Schizosaccharomyces pombe: one gene and its partners. The gene in region 3 interacts genetically with the main gene of each other region. Each region holds a gene or a part of one and is shown on either strand. Other genes may lie near its edges.

What was found.
Region 1: mutations in siw14 (region 3) and erp2 together harm fitness more than expected from each alone (negative genetic interaction), as found in Schizosaccharomyces pombe (one large-scale study listed by BioGRID).
Region 2: mutations in siw14 (region 3) and duc1 together harm fitness more than expected from each alone (negative genetic interaction), as found in Schizosaccharomyces pombe (one large-scale study listed by BioGRID).
Region 4: mutations in siw14 (region 3) and aps1 together harm fitness more than expected from each alone (negative genetic interaction), as found in Schizosaccharomyces pombe (one large-scale study listed by BioGRID).

The regions. Positions count from the first base shown.
Region 1 is NC_003424.3:1,766,019-1,769,147, forward strand, and holds erp2 (COPII-coated vesicle-associated protein Erp2/3/4), read left to right. Parts: upstream 1-1,646; 5' UTR 1,647-1,692; intron 1,693-1,765; 5' UTR 1,766-1,768; coding exon 1,769-2,401; 3' UTR 2,402-2,627; downstream 2,628-3,129. Other genes in the region: SUMO deconjugating cysteine peptidase Ulp2, read right to left, coding at 1-170, 319-512, 571-626, 673-693; protein phosphatase regulatory subunit Glc8, read right to left, coding at 3,070-3,129.
Region 2 is NC_003421.2:351,719-358,285, reverse strand, and holds duc1 (protein duc1), read right to left. Parts: upstream 4,839-6,567; 5' UTR 3,831-4,838; coding exon 3,530-3,830; intron 3,431-3,529; coding exon 3,340-3,430; intron 3,018-3,339; coding exon 1,034-3,017; 3' UTR 513-1,033; downstream 1-512. Other genes in the region: SPOM_SPCC594.02C (uncharacterized protein), read left to right, coding at 1-22.
Region 3 is NC_003423.3:1,403,399-1,407,309, forward strand, and holds siw14 (inositol pyrophosphatase Siw14), read right to left. Parts: upstream 2,335-3,911; 5' UTR 2,069-2,334; coding exon 1,576-2,068; exon of another isoform or gene 1,552-1,575; intron 1,445-1,551; coding exon 1,359-1,444; intron 1,298-1,358; coding exon 1,221-1,297; exon of another isoform or gene 1,170-1,220; coding exon 962-1,169; 3' UTR 578-961; downstream 1-577. Other genes in the region: protein aim19, read left to right, coding at 20-113, 173-192, 414-577. UniProt on the Schizosaccharomyces pombe protein: Cleaves the beta-phosphate at the 1- and 5-position of soluble inositol pyrophosphates. Has exopolyphosphatase activity in vitro but does not appear to contribute to the homeostasis of cellular polyphosphate.
Region 4 is NC_003424.3:198,127-202,056, reverse strand, and holds aps1 (diadenosine 5',5'''-p1,p6-hexaphosphate hydrolase Aps1), read right to left. Parts: upstream 2,020-3,930; 5' UTR 1,823-2,019; coding exon 1,190-1,822; 3' UTR 540-1,189; downstream 1-539. Other genes in the region: SPOM_SPAC13G6.13 (uncharacterized protein), read right to left, coding at 2,826-3,173; chs1 (chitin synthase I), read left to right, coding at 3,342-3,930.

The DNA of each region.
Region 1 (3,129 bases), on a different chromosome or scaffold from region 3:
CTTCAACAATTGGACAGGGATGTGAATGACTGGAATGCTAGTATCTGTGTAAGAAACATTTATTTCATGGGTAGTAAATTTTAAACACCCAGGCCTAGGATCGTAAAAACCTCCATAACCCCCTTTTGTGAAAGGCAGCTCGACCACATCAATTGTTTTCTTTTTTCGTGCTAAACAAAGTAGCCAAAAAGAGGCAAAAATAAGTTAGTTTTTATTTTAAAAAATCAATTATTGATACTGAAGAAGAGGAATTGTTCTAAACATTTTGCATTTCCTCATGCTTTACACATGGATCAGAGCAAAAAAGTTGCGACTTACGAGAAACCACTGTAACATTTTGAAAAGAGCGTTTTAAGTGCTTAGGAGGTGTTTGATCATCATCTATCTGCTTCCGCCTTGGTGAATCCTTCTGTATAGCAGTTCGAACCGTTGGCTTTTCCGGGGATGTTACACTATTCGCTAGCCTTTCTAGCGGGCTCTTAATAGGAATAGCATCATTTGGGCTAGTACCTCTAGATTGTAAAAATATTAATATAGGAATGTGAATTAAAAGACGAGGTAAAGTCAAACCTTTGTTTTCCAAACGGGGGAAGAAGACTAGTGAATGACCCTGATTTATCATCCAGCTAAAAAATAGTTAGTAAGAAAAAGAAACGAAAAAGAATAACATACGGCATCTTTGGAATCTCTCATTCTTCATGACATACCTGTTTTGGCGAGATAGAGAAGCCTACTACTTAATCAATGGCACAGGTTTTGTGAGCCACAGCGCGTCCAAATAAAACATAAGGATTCATTATTTTGCGGTAGATGATCTGGGTAAAACAATGTAAATAAAGGGTATCAACCAATGCAAAGGATGTAAGTATCTCTAACAGTGTCTTTAACTCAATGTAAATGAATAAAAAACGAAAGGCATAGTTGCTTTTTAAGCTGATTTCTTCCTAACCTTTGATTAATCATATTACGATTGTTTTGATTTTTTAATAACGAATAGCGAACAAAATGTTGCTGTTAACTTCCAAGAAAATGATTTTTTGTAAACTATTCTAAATTCTTTTTATTGACTAGAATATATTTTACAGATCGTTTATTTAAACTTGTATTTATCTCTGATTTACGAATGCATTAGATACATTAGTCAATTGCAACCATAGTCGCATTAAAATCAATGTAAATTATAAAAAAAAATAACAACAATACATTAAGAACAAGTAAGAGCATGGGACATTCACGCATGAAAACCTGTTTGACCTTTGTATAATATCATGAAGAAGTATAATAATACCAATATTACTTGAATATTTATTATATGATATCATAGTAAAGAAAGTTAGTTTTGAACGATTTCCTTTCTAAACTATGTTTGGGACTAGATCATTTAAAACCACCAAATTATTTTGATAATTAAGAAGAAAAACTTCTGCTTTTATTTTTCGAAGGTTTACTATTTGTTATTAGTATGCTGATGATTCTGGGTTTATACTCATTTTCATAAACAATTTTGTAAATGATTAAAAGAAGAAAAATTTGTAAAATTGTTTTAAGAGTATTTATTAAGACTAATACTCTAATTTATATTCCCAGAACGCTATCGATACTTGCCTTTTGCGATACAGCATATTCCACACTGTCAACACTCAACGTAGCAACAGCCTACTCTGCAGCTGAGCATAAAACTACTCACATATCGTAAGTGAATTTGTTTTGATACATTGGAATTAAAAGTTATATTAAATTTTTGAAGATTAACCTTACTTTATAGAAAATGCGCGTAATTACTCTAAGCGGCATAACACTATTTTTGCTCGCCAGCTTAGCTTCGGCTATTGAGTTAACATTCAAGTTAGAAAACCAAGAGAAGCAGTGTTACTACTTAGATTCTTTTCACACTGGCGAAAAAACACATTTCACGTACGCTGTTCAGTCTGGCGGTTCTTTTGATGTCGATTATATGATCAAGGCACCATCTCAGAAGACCGTTGCACTTGGCAAAAAGAGAAGACAGGCTGATGTATTTTTCACCCTCGAAGAAAAGGGTGAATATGAATTCTGTTTTGATAATCATATGTCTACGTTTACTGATAAAATTGTGACTATGGAAATCACTATGGAAAATGAACTTTCTCTTCCTGCATTAACCCGTGATGAAGCCAAAGACTACAAAAAGGACAGCATGCAAAGTACTGTTTTAGAGATCTCAACCGCATTATCTGAAATTGACCGTGTACAAAATTACTTCAAAACTCGGGAGCATCGTAATTATTCTACTGTAAAGTCTACTCAAGCCCGCATCTTTTGGTTTAGTCTTGCTGAATCTATAATGGTTGTCGCTCTTTCTGCTCTTCAAGTCTTTATTGTAAAGACATTCTTTAAACGATCTGGTCGGAGAGGTGTATAAACTGACTAGTCGGTCACCTTTCTAACAATATTCATATCTGTCATGCCTATGTATGCCTTTAATCAGTCTTAACGAAGCTTATAGCTCTATTGTTTTATTCAGGATTATATTATTATGCCAGGATTTAAATAAGACAATCGACATGCGTCTTTATTAAATCAAGGATTACAATTTCTTGTAGTTGAAGTATTTTCCACTAAGCAATATTATTATTTCCTTCATTGCATTTTACAACTGTATTCGTGTTTCATACAAATTTAAGCAACCTATCAACGAAATAAAGAAAAAATGTGCTTAATGAGTATTTAAGTATAAAAAATTGTATACTATGAAAAAAAAAGAATGGGTAGGGTTAGCGGCCATAAATGAAGGATTAGACTGCTAAAAGGGCATAAAAATGAAATGAAAGCCGTTAAACTATTTGAAGTTCATAAGAAAGGTTTTAATATAAACCGAGCAGAACAACTGTACAACCAAAGTGAAAAGGGCAAAAAAGGGGAATAGAAATGAATAAAAAACGTAAACGGAGAAGACGCAAAAGCTCATGTAATAAAACTTTGAAGGTCGAAAAAATAATTTGCAGTCGTTTGACGTTATAATAAATGAAACTCAAGATCCTTTGTACTTGCAACTCACGTTTCAATAATGCGTAAAGTTAATAAAGTGATTCACTCATTTTCATTCATATTTACATCAGAAGCTGACCCAGAATCGCTATTATCTCTCTC
Region 2 (6,567 bases), on a different chromosome or scaffold from region 3:
CGAAAGACCGGTAGTTCATTAACTGAAATATTGTGAATTATAAAGGCTGTGATATTAAGTCGGAAAATGTTCCCTATTGTCTCGTGGCAACTATTTCTGCTGATCTCTTTAGTATAATCGTGTTTTTAAGATCCGTTGGAAACAGCATCTTTCATGTTTTAATGTTTCAATTAACTTAATATTTCGCTGTTCAATAGGCTTCTTGTTTTAAATGCATCAAACATAGAGTTTTAACAAAACATAAATTAGGGAAAAGGAATAATCTTAACTGAACTTTTAAAAATTTTGACAGTAACTTACATAACTTTAGGTTTATCTGAATTTGTTTTCTGCTAAAATTTTTTAGTCTGCATCTATAGTGTATGTCAAAAAACATTGTTCTGTAGCGACTGCGTAGCTATGTAAAGACAATTTTGCTCATTTTACACGCAAGTCAGTAGATATGTATTATATACCACGTAGATTTGCAAATGGTAAATGAAGTTGTACTACTTACTTTCAAAAAAAGAAAATGAAAGAAAGAGTAAGGTCGAATTAATTAACTACAATCATTTATAAAGGTTATACATGTATAGGTAAGAGAAAAAAGACAAAAAGCCGACTTACAGCAAATCATATTAAAAAAAATGATGTCTAATGGGTCCATAAGAACAAACACAGATAAAGTATTGAAAGAAGCATATAAACAAAAATGCATTAGAAAGCCGACTAGGCCATATAAAAGGAACGATGATAGCTTCGGAAGGATGGAACGTAAATATTGACACTGAACACCTGCTATTAAAAAAAGATAAGCGAAATCATTTACCATGTAAAGAAAACCTTCCAGGATAATAATTAAATGGCTAGTCGAACTCATTTCATATTTTATTTACGGCAACATAATCTCTAATTTCCATTTATACAGTTAAAAGAGAGTGTCGCGTACCGAAACATAAAGTCATTATAGAGAGCACAAAAAAGAGCAGTATTCGACGATACAAGACAAACCGCCATTAAAGTCTAAAGAACAAAAAACAGGCCTAAATAATCGTTAAGTTTGTTTTCTTCTTTCACGCTCCTTAGCCTGCTCGGCAAGAACTGTCTCATCATCATCTTCGAGGAGGTCAAACTCGACAACAAACATAACAGCATCTTCATCATCGGTTTCACGCATCATATATCGGATTGGCTGATGACCATCAGAGTTCAAATGCTTATAAACATTGAGCCGAATGGGTCCGATATTCAAATTAAAGGTATTAAAATCCATATGAGGGGAAAAGAAACTCATGCAATAAACTACATCTTTATCGTAAAAGAAATTTTCTCGACAAAATTTGGAGCTTGAAAAGTACTTTCGTCTTTCCTTTACTGACTTGTGTTCACCAAAAATAAACGAATTGTCTTCTATAGGATCCACTTTGGGATTGGCGAATCTCCAAGGTCCAAGTTGTGGATCGAGATTATTTGAATCAGAAGGGATGTGTTTAACAGGTTTCGGTATTTTTGATTGACTAGTAGCCGTCCGCACGGGCTTTGGCCTCGTCAACGCCACATTAGACGTGGGTTGCTTTGCGACGGTGGTACTATTAGCATTCGCGGTAACAGTCTTTCCGTCAACAGATTGAGGCAATTGTTTTGAAGAAGGAGTATTAGATTGTGATACTTCATCAATCGATCGCTCCTCAACAATCTTTTCAGGTGTTGAAACGTGTTTTTTAAGCCTATTAGAAGGTGGGACACCGCTGGTTATAGATGTTTGTTCACGTAGCGGAGGTAACGACCCAGTCTCTCCAGCCACGTTAACAGCAGATGATGCTGAATCATTGGCATATGACAACGTGGAATGAGAAGAGGAAGGACGAGAAACGGAAAATGAGTTTCTTCCAGAAAAAGAAAAAATGTCAGATTTACGACGGTTACTTTCACTGGCTTCAATTCCAGAGTCAGATTCAATTAGGTCGGTTTTGTGATGATGATGATGGTGACGGTGTAAAGAACCTATGCGAATTAATTTATCAAGAGAGCGACGTGGCGCCGACATTTTCTTTTCTTTTTCAGTTTTTACAGCAGACGTGGATGCTGCACTAGCGGTAGAAAATCGATGAGTAGAATTACCGACGTCATCCGATTTCGAATCGTTTCTTAAACTTTTTTTTGAGCGAAGGGACATACGTTTTATTAGTTTGGGCGTGGAAAATTTTCCAAGATGTAAAGAAGGATGTGTAATTTTACGAAACGGGTCTTTGTTTTTAGATTTCTTATGCTGTTCCTTTTGATCCTGTTGCATTTCTAAAGCAGTAAAGTAACGTTGCAAGTCATCTTCATTTTCGTCATCAGGAACATTGGAAATACCATGCTTGTACACGTCCTTTCCATAATTCTCATCCATTATATAACCCTCTTCCAGGTCCAAACTAGGTTTGTGAAGCAATCCTAGCTGCTTGACATGTAAATTAAAATCCTTATGTTTATTGGTAATGTGACGATGTAATAAAAGCTCATCGTCTTCATCATCCTCCACAGGAGCTAGAGAAGTAGCTGCAGATTTTACAGATAATTGAGACACGTTTTGGGAAGTTTCAGTCTTAACTGATGGAGCATCCGGTATTGCAGCCGGAACGTTTAAATGTGAAAACCGTGTGCTATCGCTAAATCCAGCAAAACTCCAATACCGGTGTCTATTTTTTCGAGGTGCAGTGGTATTTCCAGAATCAGAGGATACTATACTAAGATCATCATTATCTGCAACGGTAGCGGGGGTAGCAGCAGGGGGATTTGGAGAGTCGGGTACTGCTGTAACAGTAATTGGCGGAGTAACAATATTTGTTTGAACATCTATTTGTGTCGTGGTTTTCTTGGGAGTAACGTTGGTAGAGGGAAGGTCTGATAAACTGACATCCGAGGAGTCGTTAATTTCAGGTAACGATTCAGTGTCTGATTCCTGAGAATCAGCTTCCACTAATGAAATAACAGCATCTTCAAGACGCGATGGAGCCGGCCATGCAGAGAGTGTATTCACACAAGCGACGAATCTAAGTCAAAAGGTTAAAAATCGTGTTTTAAAAAAAAAGATAATCTGAGAGGATAATGGAAAACCTTGCAATCGATAAGGCCAGAAAACAAAAAGACTATATGATTTGAATCAGGAACTCAAGAGGTAGTGGAAGCAAACCGATGGGGTGATTAAAAAATTATAAGAAAAATAAAAAAAAGAAAGAAAGAAAGCGAATAATCAAGATGCCTAAATTCGGTCTTTTGTTTTCAATAAACCTTTGTTTTCAGGCAATGCCCAGATTGTAAAAATTTTCGACCCTTTCTATTATGCATATCCAACAGACGAGCATCAATACTTACGGTGACATGATATACGGGGATCTGGCATATTTATCATAATACACAGCAGGGTCAATATATTTGGCAATCCGCATACCAGCTCGGAAAGCACCTAGTGAAAAGGAATTAGCATTAAGCACCGCGGAAAAAAAAAGACGAAATGAGATAAAACGAAGAAGAAAACTAAAGAATATGCTTTTAAAAAACTTACTTTCTGGGAAGGTAGAGATCATATGGTCGAACTGTGTGCCATAAATGACTTGATCTCCATTGTATTCCTTTTTGAATCGGCCTTCAGCTTGTATTTGAAACTTTCGTGAGCGACCTCGAAAATACTCGGAATCTCTCTTTGGAGGGCTACCGTCAGGAGTAAAACCATCGAAATCGCGTACGCGAACGAGGATTCTACCAACCCATAACGGGCCATCGACTTCAGTAGGCCGCCCTTCATAATTCACCCAAGCAATCTGTGTGTGCTGTGCATCGCAGCCAATACTGACCTTTAATTTCATTTCCAAGGATCTCTTTGGCCCTTTTACCTCTCCAAAATACGGTCTTTTCACTAGCGTACCAGGGTGTTTGGCTAAAGGTAAGTCGTGGGTTCCTCTGCCATCCGACGTCAGCTTTGTAAAATTGTGAGACCCAACATTGGGTCCCGTATTGCGGTTTCTGTATACGAGGTGGAGAGGGGGAGACCCCTCTCTTTAATCCAGAATATCGAGAGTCTATCGATGATGAAGATTTGCACGCAAAAATAAAAAACCGAGGCAGAGTGATGGTGGTATTGTTTCGATTACGAGAAGAGCTTGTCGTGAGAAAAAGGGTACTATAAGGAAAAATAACGTGTCGCGGTATTCGTTTGGCTGTCGCGTCACATGTGTCAGTGTAAACAAGCCAAAAATACTAGGATGGATGAACGGGCAATAGGAAAAAAGAGAAAGGAACGATTAGAGCTGATGATGCTAAATGAAGGAGGATTTAATGAAAAGCTTTAATTTTATCGCACAAGACATTGAATGAATACATGGTCCTCTATCATAGATGAAGATGAATGGGGAGATGAATGCAATGGGATTCTTTTAGAATGTTGTCTTTTTGTTTTGAGCAGAGACTAAAAACGAAATGGGAATTATTTGGCGAAAGGTGTTGGTGTATGCAAAACAGACTCAATACTCATATGATCGGTTGTGGATAGGAGTGCAACATTACCAAGTCCATGAGAATCGAACAAAAATCAATAATAGGAGGAAAAGATTTCAACAAGAAAGAGTATAAGCGAAAATGAGTTTTTCATTGAACTCTTCTGTTCCAAAATTTGTTTTGTACAGTTTTCACCTCACCTTTCAAAAAACTATTGTATGAGCATGGAAAGCTAGTTAGACGATGGGCAATTCTATACCAAATCTAAAATATTTCAAAAGTTAGTGGGAAAATCCTTCGTAAAAAAAGGTATCCGAATTTAAGATATTCATTTCTTCTCATGCCATGTGTATCAACTTATTTACAGAAAGACCATGTCTGAAGAGGGACAAAATCATGTTATTCTTCCAAATTTCACTCTTGTTGACGATTTGACTACCCGACTAAACGATAGCGTACTATTTCTCAAACGCCGTATTATTTTTAAAGCAATTAAACGAATTGCCAATTTGAGTTAACAGATTTCAGCAGCAAAATGATGGAAATACCGTACAACGTGATAACACATTGCATGGTACTACGTTTAATATAACGTACCGCAGTGTGATAGCTTTGCGTGTAATACACAGTTATGCGTTGCGGTCTAAACAGCATTTTGCGTATCTCTGCGTGCGAGACAGCACTTGGATACCAAACTAGTTTAAAGTGCCATGGTATAACCCATTAAAGGCGCACGTTGCATAGCGGTACAGCTCGAGAAATGTATAAACAAGAACGCACATAAATATCCAGATGATTAAATAGAAAGAAGAATTATTTAGCATTTTAACTAATTATTCATGTTTTAAAGCTGAGCAGGTTCTTAAAGTGCCAAATATTCTAAAAGTCAAATTTTTTTCAATTTTTGCTTGCTTTTCCACTTTTTTCTCCATATTCTGGGGGTACTATTGTAAAAGCCAACCAAATTACCTTCATTTCTTTTGTTCTTTTGCATCTTTATTTTTATTAACTAAAGCTTCATTCATCTTTTCATCATTCATAGCATACCAAGTGAATCCAAAGTTTCACCTCCTTGTCATATCTCTTTCTTCTGTTTACCCAGCCCAGCGACACAGCAACGGTCCAGCTCAGTCTCAGTCCAGATCTCACTTCTCATACTGGTGAAATACTTTTACATAAAAAATGTCTATGTCAACGTTACTCAGTCGCACTCAGTGTCCAACAGGCAACTCTCAAAAAGTGTGAAATGTCAAGTTGACATCTAAGCTACAATCAGATTAGATTTTTCTTCATAAAAATCCAGCCTCGTTATTTCATCATTATTTTACCATTACGTAATTTTGCGCATTTCGCAAGAAAAACTCCTGAATCTCCTTACGATTTACGTTACGTTATGCGAATGCAACACGACGCGACGCGACGCGACCGATTCCATGAGATCAGCCATTCCCTATTACGTATTTCATTGGAATTCCTTCCAGTACTTTATAATATTTAAGGAAAATCCCTCGCACATCACAATATTCGATGCGAGTTGGTGTCGCCTAGATGATGCTAAAAAGTAATCTAGTCACAATCATCATCATATCACATCCCATCGCATCCCATCGCATCCCATCAAAATCGCATTGTATTGTATGGTATTATATTGTATAGTGTATTTCATTGCATCGCATAACATGGCATAGCATTTAAATCATCTTGTTTGTATTAACAAAGGTCAGTCAACTAGTTAGTTAGTCTAACAATTTCATTCCAAATCTTTCGACCTAAAGTCGGATCGGAATTCTCATTTTCGCAATAATTTTTCTCATCACAAAAGTTTATCGCTACTCTATAAATCTTTCAATCATTGCCACTTCGATCGCTTCATCATTGCTGGAAGGCTGAGTCAAATAAAAAAATGGTCAAGATAACAGTCATTGCTAATGACTGACTTTCCCGACTTTGTCTACTTATTTCTTCATCAGATGACATACATCAAGTGATTCATACTCATTTACGTTGAGTTTACTCTCCAGCTCCTTGTTGCATTTGCCCACTAAATTGAAAAAAACGATTTATTCACATTGGGATTCATTTTACACAAGTGTAGCATAAGCTTCGATT
Region 3 (3,911 bases):
GCTAATTTCTATAAAACAGTAATTGCTTCTGTACCTAGAGCATTTAAACGACCCTATGGCGGTCCTTTCGTTCCTGGTTGTCTTTTGTGTGGTGGATTCAATGCTATAGGAGGGTATTTACAAATATACTTATTTCTTTTGTACTGTTCTATTTTACTAATTACTTTTTCAGTCTTGCAATTGCTAGTGGTGGTAAGTGATTTTGGTGACTAGTATTCCAATTCATTATATGTTGCCTTGGTAAAATACATAGGAATTTAAGGATAGACGTTTGATTTCAAATATTACTCCTCACGATCATTAAGCAGCTTTTATGAATGTGTTCAATTTCGTTTTAAAAAGTTTCAAGTCTTTGCAACTATTAGGATTGTTTTTCATTTGCTTTTCGCAATTTATTGACCTTACGAATATAGACTTAACCAACGGTTCAGGAATTTGTACAGCTTGGTCAATTGCCTATCTAATGATTAATGCTACCAAATCAATCAAATCTTTTCGACTATACCCAATTGCTCTAACTACATTCGCAACTGCCAACGCAGTCGGTTACGGGAAAACCTTCATGAATGAATATTAAAAAGTGATATATTATACGATATATACAACGTTGAACCTCAAAACCATTATTCCAAAAAAGAAGACGAAGAAAACGTGGTGGAAACACCACCGTATTTTCTTCAAATGTACAGTTACTTACTCCTATGAAATTCTGTAAAAATTCCTCGGATAGTAAATAGTACATATATATAAGCAAACAAGTTTATGAAAGAATTAAAAATTATAAAAGAAAATGTTATGTAGGAGGTAAATCCTAATTATGTACCATCTGGTAGCTATTAAGCATTTAAGCTATAACTAGGAAAAAGAACAAAATAGCGAAAGACATATATATATGGAACAGCCAAGTGATAAACACAAATAGAAAAAGTTGAAAAACAGGAATACTCTATAAGGCATTCAATTACGAACCGGGAGAACGACAAGTTTCATTCACAGTAGCAGCTTGCACTGTCGGAGACTCACTGGACAAAACGACATCAGCTAATTCTGAAGATGAATCACTAATATACCGTTTCAAATCATTGAGAGAAGACTTTAGAGATGGATCTGATGAAAAGTTCTGAATATATTCTTCGTCAACTTCACGTTCTTTGGGATGTGAAAAGGATCTTTATAGGTTAACAATTGATACGAAAACAATGAAATAAATGAAAACTTACATATATTCCTGTAAACGATTTCCGACTGGCCAATTCATCAATGCTCTTAGACAACCAATTACAATACCTGTGCGATGCTTAATGAATCGTTAGCAAAGCAATAATTAAGAAAATAATCTAAAGAAAAGAATAACCTACCTTTCCACGACTGCAATGGAGCAAAACAGGCCAATTTTCTTTATTTAAAAGAAGTTGTAAAGTTTTTCGTACAAGATCGTCAACGTCTAGCAAGCGGGTTAGCTAATCAAAGTAAAGTAATTAAAAAAAAACTTGAAACAAGGAATGAAGAATAATTAAAATATCTTTTTAATTTTTAAACAAAGTGTGCAACAAGTTAAGATGGTGGAAAGCTTACCTGAAATGTCGGGATTTGAGGAAGAGGAAATGCAATCGTTTTTCCGATGTTTGCTTCCAGGCATGGCAATATGATAATAATTAATGTGATGTTTAGTGAAGTAGTGGAGATCCTCTTCGGAATACTCTTCTTGTCTTAATGATATAATGGTACGGATGTGTAAGGATTCCAGGAAATTGAAATTAGAAGCACGTGGACATGCAGAACGATAAATAATTCCAGGATAAACGACCCCAAAATTATCTGGTACAAGCGGTGAATTGGAGAATGTCGAGGCATCGTTGGAAGTGTCAACTACCTTGATACCATCTTTATGGGCATTCAACTCTAAGCAACAAACTGGTTTTGCCTGTTCTTCCGAATTCACAGAATGACAATCGTTTAAACAACTGTCATGACTCGACACCTCGGGTATAGACATAGAAATTTGGTCCCTATCCGAAGTAATTGATATCAACTTCTTTTCAAGTTGGAATGGAAAAACAATGGCCATCAATCAACTACCCTCCCAAGCACATTCGAAAAATAAAGAAACCACTTAAAATGTTTCTCTAATTATGAACGATTGATGGTGCCACAACCTCAATTTGACTACTTAAGAAACTTCTAAACGATAGCGGTACCAGGACGACAAGCGTTAAGACCTGAACAGTAAATTGGAAATAAAGTACTATACAAAAATACTGATTTGGCAAATTTTGCCAAATGTATTACTTTTCTGAGGATATTGTAGATTCTTGGTGAGGTAAGGTATTTAGCAAATTAACCGGAGCCGATGAAGATGCACAAGTATACGGAAATTTACGGCATATTTATGTAAGCTAGAGAAGAGAGGGACGGTACACAGAAGCCAGAAATCTTTCACTGAATACTCTTATAAAATGCATTTTCACCTTCTTTTATTTGCGCGAGAATCCTATTAAAAACTACTATTCCATATGTCTTTTTTCAACCAAACATCTGGCACTGTAAGTCTAATCAGTAAGTCATAGATGCTAAATAGGAAGAATTATTCAATCCATAATAAAAAAAAACACTATAAAAGCTACAATCGAGTGCAAACAAACAATTCTTTTTCAATACAAAATAAATCGATATAATTTCCGCGACTTCAGTAAAATGCACTATATGAAGCCAATGATAGGATTCTGAGGCAATCTGTTAAGGAAAAAACGGTACCTCTTTAATATTATATTTTGATATGAAAGATACTATATTAGTACATAATCGTTCATATGTGAGTGTGAAAAATTGAGTAAACAAACCAGTAAAAAAAAAGGAATTATGAAAAAAAATTGGATAGAATTAAATACTGATACAGAAACAAGTATTAGAAGTTGAATAAAAGTTGGAAGCAACCGCATTGTTAACGAGTTGAATAATTTGATGTTTCAACTCTGCAATGTTAGGATACCAGTGATGCCGAGCAGCTCATCGAATTAAAACATAATCGAAATATTCATGTAAAATACTATTAATATACAATACAAATTACATTCATGAGTGATAATACATTTGGATTCGCAAATTCTTCGCAACATTATACAAAGAGTATGAGTATTCTTCTGTCTATAATTAGCACTATAAATTATTTTAACTTATACAGCAAATGTCTACGGCCATACCTAGGCGAAAACACCAGTTCCCGTCCGATCACTGCAGTTAAGCGTCTGAGGGCCTCGTTAGTACTATGGTTGGAGACAACATGGGAATCCGGGGTGCTGTAGGCTTCCTTTCATTACTGTATTCATTTTTTTTACATTACTTACACATGTTAGTGAACACAATGAAAGCAAACGTTTCTAAAATGTTTCAACAGACACGGCATGGTATATTAAACACCGGAATGTCAATTACATATGGTTTTTAAATTTGAGTTAATTCTTCTGTAAAAAGATAGTACCTACTTCTTTTTTTTATAGAAGAATGCCTACAAACACGTTTCTCATTGACCATAATAATTTTGCTATAATTGATGCTAACTAATATTGCCTTAAAATCTCCTTATAAACTCAAAAATACAAAGTAATCTTTTTAAATTGGCTGTTTTCTCAATTATGTATAATTTGGCCAACCTCGATCGACTCAGTAATTAAAATTAAAGCCGTAGTGAAGCTTTCTCATACTCTCCAATATGAAATTAATTATTGTGTGCGCTCACCCATCATTTTATTTACTATAAACAGCACCGTGGTGAACAGTTATAGTAGTACCAAAAAACGAATCTAATAATCTAACCCCTACAAAAGAAGTCTTCTACACTTTAATATACATTGGAAAAATGTTGCTCGCGACAGTGGTAATTATTTGTAGGTCCAATAAAACACCCTTTTTCC
Region 4 (3,930 bases), on a different chromosome or scaffold from region 3:
GTTCAGATTAGATCCAGAAACTTATGCTGGGATCTAACAGGATTAACGACAATTGTTAGAATGTGAGACAGTGCTATTTAGTTCATTTTTAAAAGAATTGGCTATGACCGTCAAAGTTCTGAAAATAAAAATATATATATGTATTTTCTTCTTGTTTCTTTTTCTAAAAATTTTTTATTCTGATAGCTGAAGCTTTACTAACATAACTGCTAAATCCTACGTTTTTAATTTTGCAGTTTGTTTGGATTTTTAGGTGTGGTTATAAATTGCTTTTATGTACATTTTCACGTTGAACAACGTCAATCAAATATATTAAGTAATTCTCAAATTCTTATATAAGCATTTTGTACGAATATTTATACTAACGGATTGATGTTTGCTATAGTTCGTCGTTTCGCTATCTATTTACTACTAATTGAAAAGTATTTTTTAAAATTATCGCACGTAAGTGTAATGAGCGTCAATGGATTCACTATAATTCATAGCTATATGATTGCTGAAAGCCAATATAAAATTACACGACATATTCAAATTGACACACGAAACTTCTTGGGCTCATTAGTATCTAACAACGAATACGTTTTACCGTATGGAACAATTTTGTTTTTATTAACGTCACTAATCAAAATTGGTTGCAAACAATTAATATGCTAGCAACTAATGTGCTTTTTATGCATAGCACACAACGATAACGATTAACTCGCACCCTAGCATCAAACAGGTGGGATTAGATGATTTTTTAAGGAATGAAACTTTGTTTTAAAAAATTTGAATTATCATGCGATTCAATTGAAAATATATTTATAAATAGAATTAGTATGTTATGCAGACAATGATCTTAATCGAAAATATACAAAGAGAGTAAAAACTTTTAAAAAAGGAAAGAAAAAATAGCAGTTGAACTGCTGGAATATATGCTGTACCGCTGAAATCCTTTAAAGGATATATGTTTCATGAAATGAGCTTTATGTCGAAAACTCAATTTGACCCAGCTTGCTGAAAAAAAAAATAAGAATCAAGATTTGCAAACTTCAAGCCTTTTTAACACACTTGACATGGTAACTAATAGATATAACAATTTCGTAATCCCATGGAAAAAGATAAATATTGAAGCAAGAAATCAAAAAAAATGGTAAATTAAAATATTTGAATAAAAGGTTGCAAATGGTAAACATTATGCATCTGTACTTCAGTTTTCCTCTTTAATGATAGAGCTCTTCTCAAGAGCTGCCAAAATATCTTTACGACTTGTCAACGCTTCCTTTGCTTCTTGATAAGACATCCATTTTCGGCGACGCTTCCTCATCTCTGGGTAATTGTCTTCTAATCTTTCAACAATAACTTCAAAAAATTCACATTCGGCTCTAGGTGGAAGTAATAATTTCTCTGCTTCGGCTCCTAACTCGGTATTGGTTGAGACGTCATTTCCGCTACTTTTTGACATTAATTGCTTCAAATATTTTTTCCTTCTGTCAATAGTATCAGTAGGACGCTTATCCTTGAAAGACCCAAGGGATCTAGTGATATGACCCACTAGTCCGCCTTCTTCCCAACCTTCACGAAGGGCAGCTTGCTGAACAGATTCATCAGCCTCCCATCCACCCTTAGGAACTACCCAAGAAGGATGTTTTTTAGCAGAAGAAACTAATAGGACTTTCCTTTTGTCTGCAGATAAAGCAACAACACCCGCAGCAAGTCTGGCTCCTGTAATAGGATTGAATCGATTTTTCGTTCGACCTTCACGAGAAGTCATTGAGCGGTTCACTGCCGTCCGTAGATGATCCGGCTCCATTAAAATCACACTTCCGTTATTTTCAAGCATATGAACTATAAAGTACTCTTCTTTTCGACAAGTTGAATGGATTTGGTATAATTTCTTGCCTTATGGTAGAGTAAGGAAACGATGTCTGAAAAGGCAAAAGCAAGATGTTCAAAAGAATCTGAGTTCTTTTTGAACAAGGAAGAGATATAAATCTCCTATTCCGATGAATATAAATCGATCGCGAAAAGTGGTTTTCCGAAGGTTTCTCCCAGTGATTTAGGTTGGGATAACGAAATAGTGAAGTACAAACCGACACGCTAAACAGTTGTCGGAGACCAAATAATTTGCGGTGATATTTAAAATGAGAGATTGTATTAGAAAATAGGTAATTTATAATTTTTCAAAATAAATAGCTTGCGAGGAAAATACATTTTCATTTTGTATGCAGTAATCTCCAATTTGCGAAGTTGTTTGTATTCGTAGATTTCGCATCGAAAAATACCCACATTATCAATTCTTTGGACAAAATGAGGCTTTTTAAAAGGAGTACGCTTGTAGAAAATCTGTAAGTCTTAATCTTTTAATACACGGTTTTCGAAGTTTTGCATTGTATTTACTGTTCTGTTGTTCTATCTGATCATTGCTGATTCCTTCACTAACTCTTGATAAGTTGGGCTTTTTGAATCTGATAATATTGATAGTAAGAGAATCAATTAACACTAACCAATTGTTGATGCATTTTAATGTCGAGGAAAATAAAATAAAATAATTTAACAAAAAAAAGATTGGATAATTTAAATTCCCAATATCTGTTTTATTTAAAACAATTATTATAGCGAAAAAAAATGTTTATTATATAAAAAACAATAATTTATACAATTCAACTACTTCTATTACGTTTGGAATAAAAAGAAAATCGTTTAAAATAATAATATATCTAAATAAAATGAGTAATGTTGGAAGAAAATTGGCTTTTCGTTTGCTTTGTTATATACCTTAGCAAGCCATTGTATAAATTGTTATTTTTTAATTTTTTTTATATGAATAAATAATGAGATATGATTTACTTTTTAAGCTTTTGATAAAATTTGTTCATAACATAAACTTTGGTATGTGTATTCCTTCTTATAATTACAGTTGTATTTAGTTTTAACAATACGGAACAAATAATTATTTTTATGTATTTAGATTTGTCATACAATATAGCGAGTAAATGCCATTCTTCAATCATAAAAAAAGTACACTTTAGTTTGTTGCAATCTTCCACCACCTCATCACTTTTTTTTCTTTTGTAAACATTAATCTTCTTACTCTCTTTGTATTTAAATATTAAAAGAGTATAACAATTCCTTCTTTTATAATATTTTATTTTCATATCGTTGGCTTCTACAATCATTGGCAATTGAAACATTGTTGACAAGCATTCAGGGTTAAACAAACCATTGTTTCAATCATTACAACTGTAATTGTCTCCCCAAAATTGATTCTCACTATCATAAACTTGGATGCTGCTTTACAGAAAAAATCTAAGCGTATATTTGATAGAGCGATTTGAGGCTCGTTTCTACGGCTCTTGAAGATGAGAAGGTGGTTCAAAAAAACGCTACCACGCCCTCCTGATGAGGAGGAATCAGCTGGATTAACAAATAAAGATATTGTTGAAACCAATCACTTATATCCTACAATCACCAATTTGTCATTAAACAGTGATACTTCGTCCATTTTATTTGATAAAAATAAAAAACCTCTAAAACCGAAAATCATTATTCCTGATAAAGAATTTGATCTCGATTATTATTTAAAAGATGAAACGGAAAGTATTCAATCTCCATTTGAAGGTTTTACTGCTCAACCAAATTTTTCAAACTTCAATAAGCAAGGAAATACTATGAACCGAGAGGCAAATTTCCAAAGAACAAATGAAAAAATTCAAAGAAATAAAAGTATTAAACGAGTTAAATTATTTCATGGCAATCTCATCCTCGATTGTCCAATTCCTAAGAAGTTATTGGTTACACTTCCACAGCAAACAGAGCGAGAATTTGCTTACATGCGCTACAGTGCTGCTACATGTGATCCACAAGACTTTTCGAAAAGCCTATTCACTTTAAGGCAGCCCCTATTCTTTCAGCCGAGAAAAACTGAAATTTGTATTGCTATAACTATGT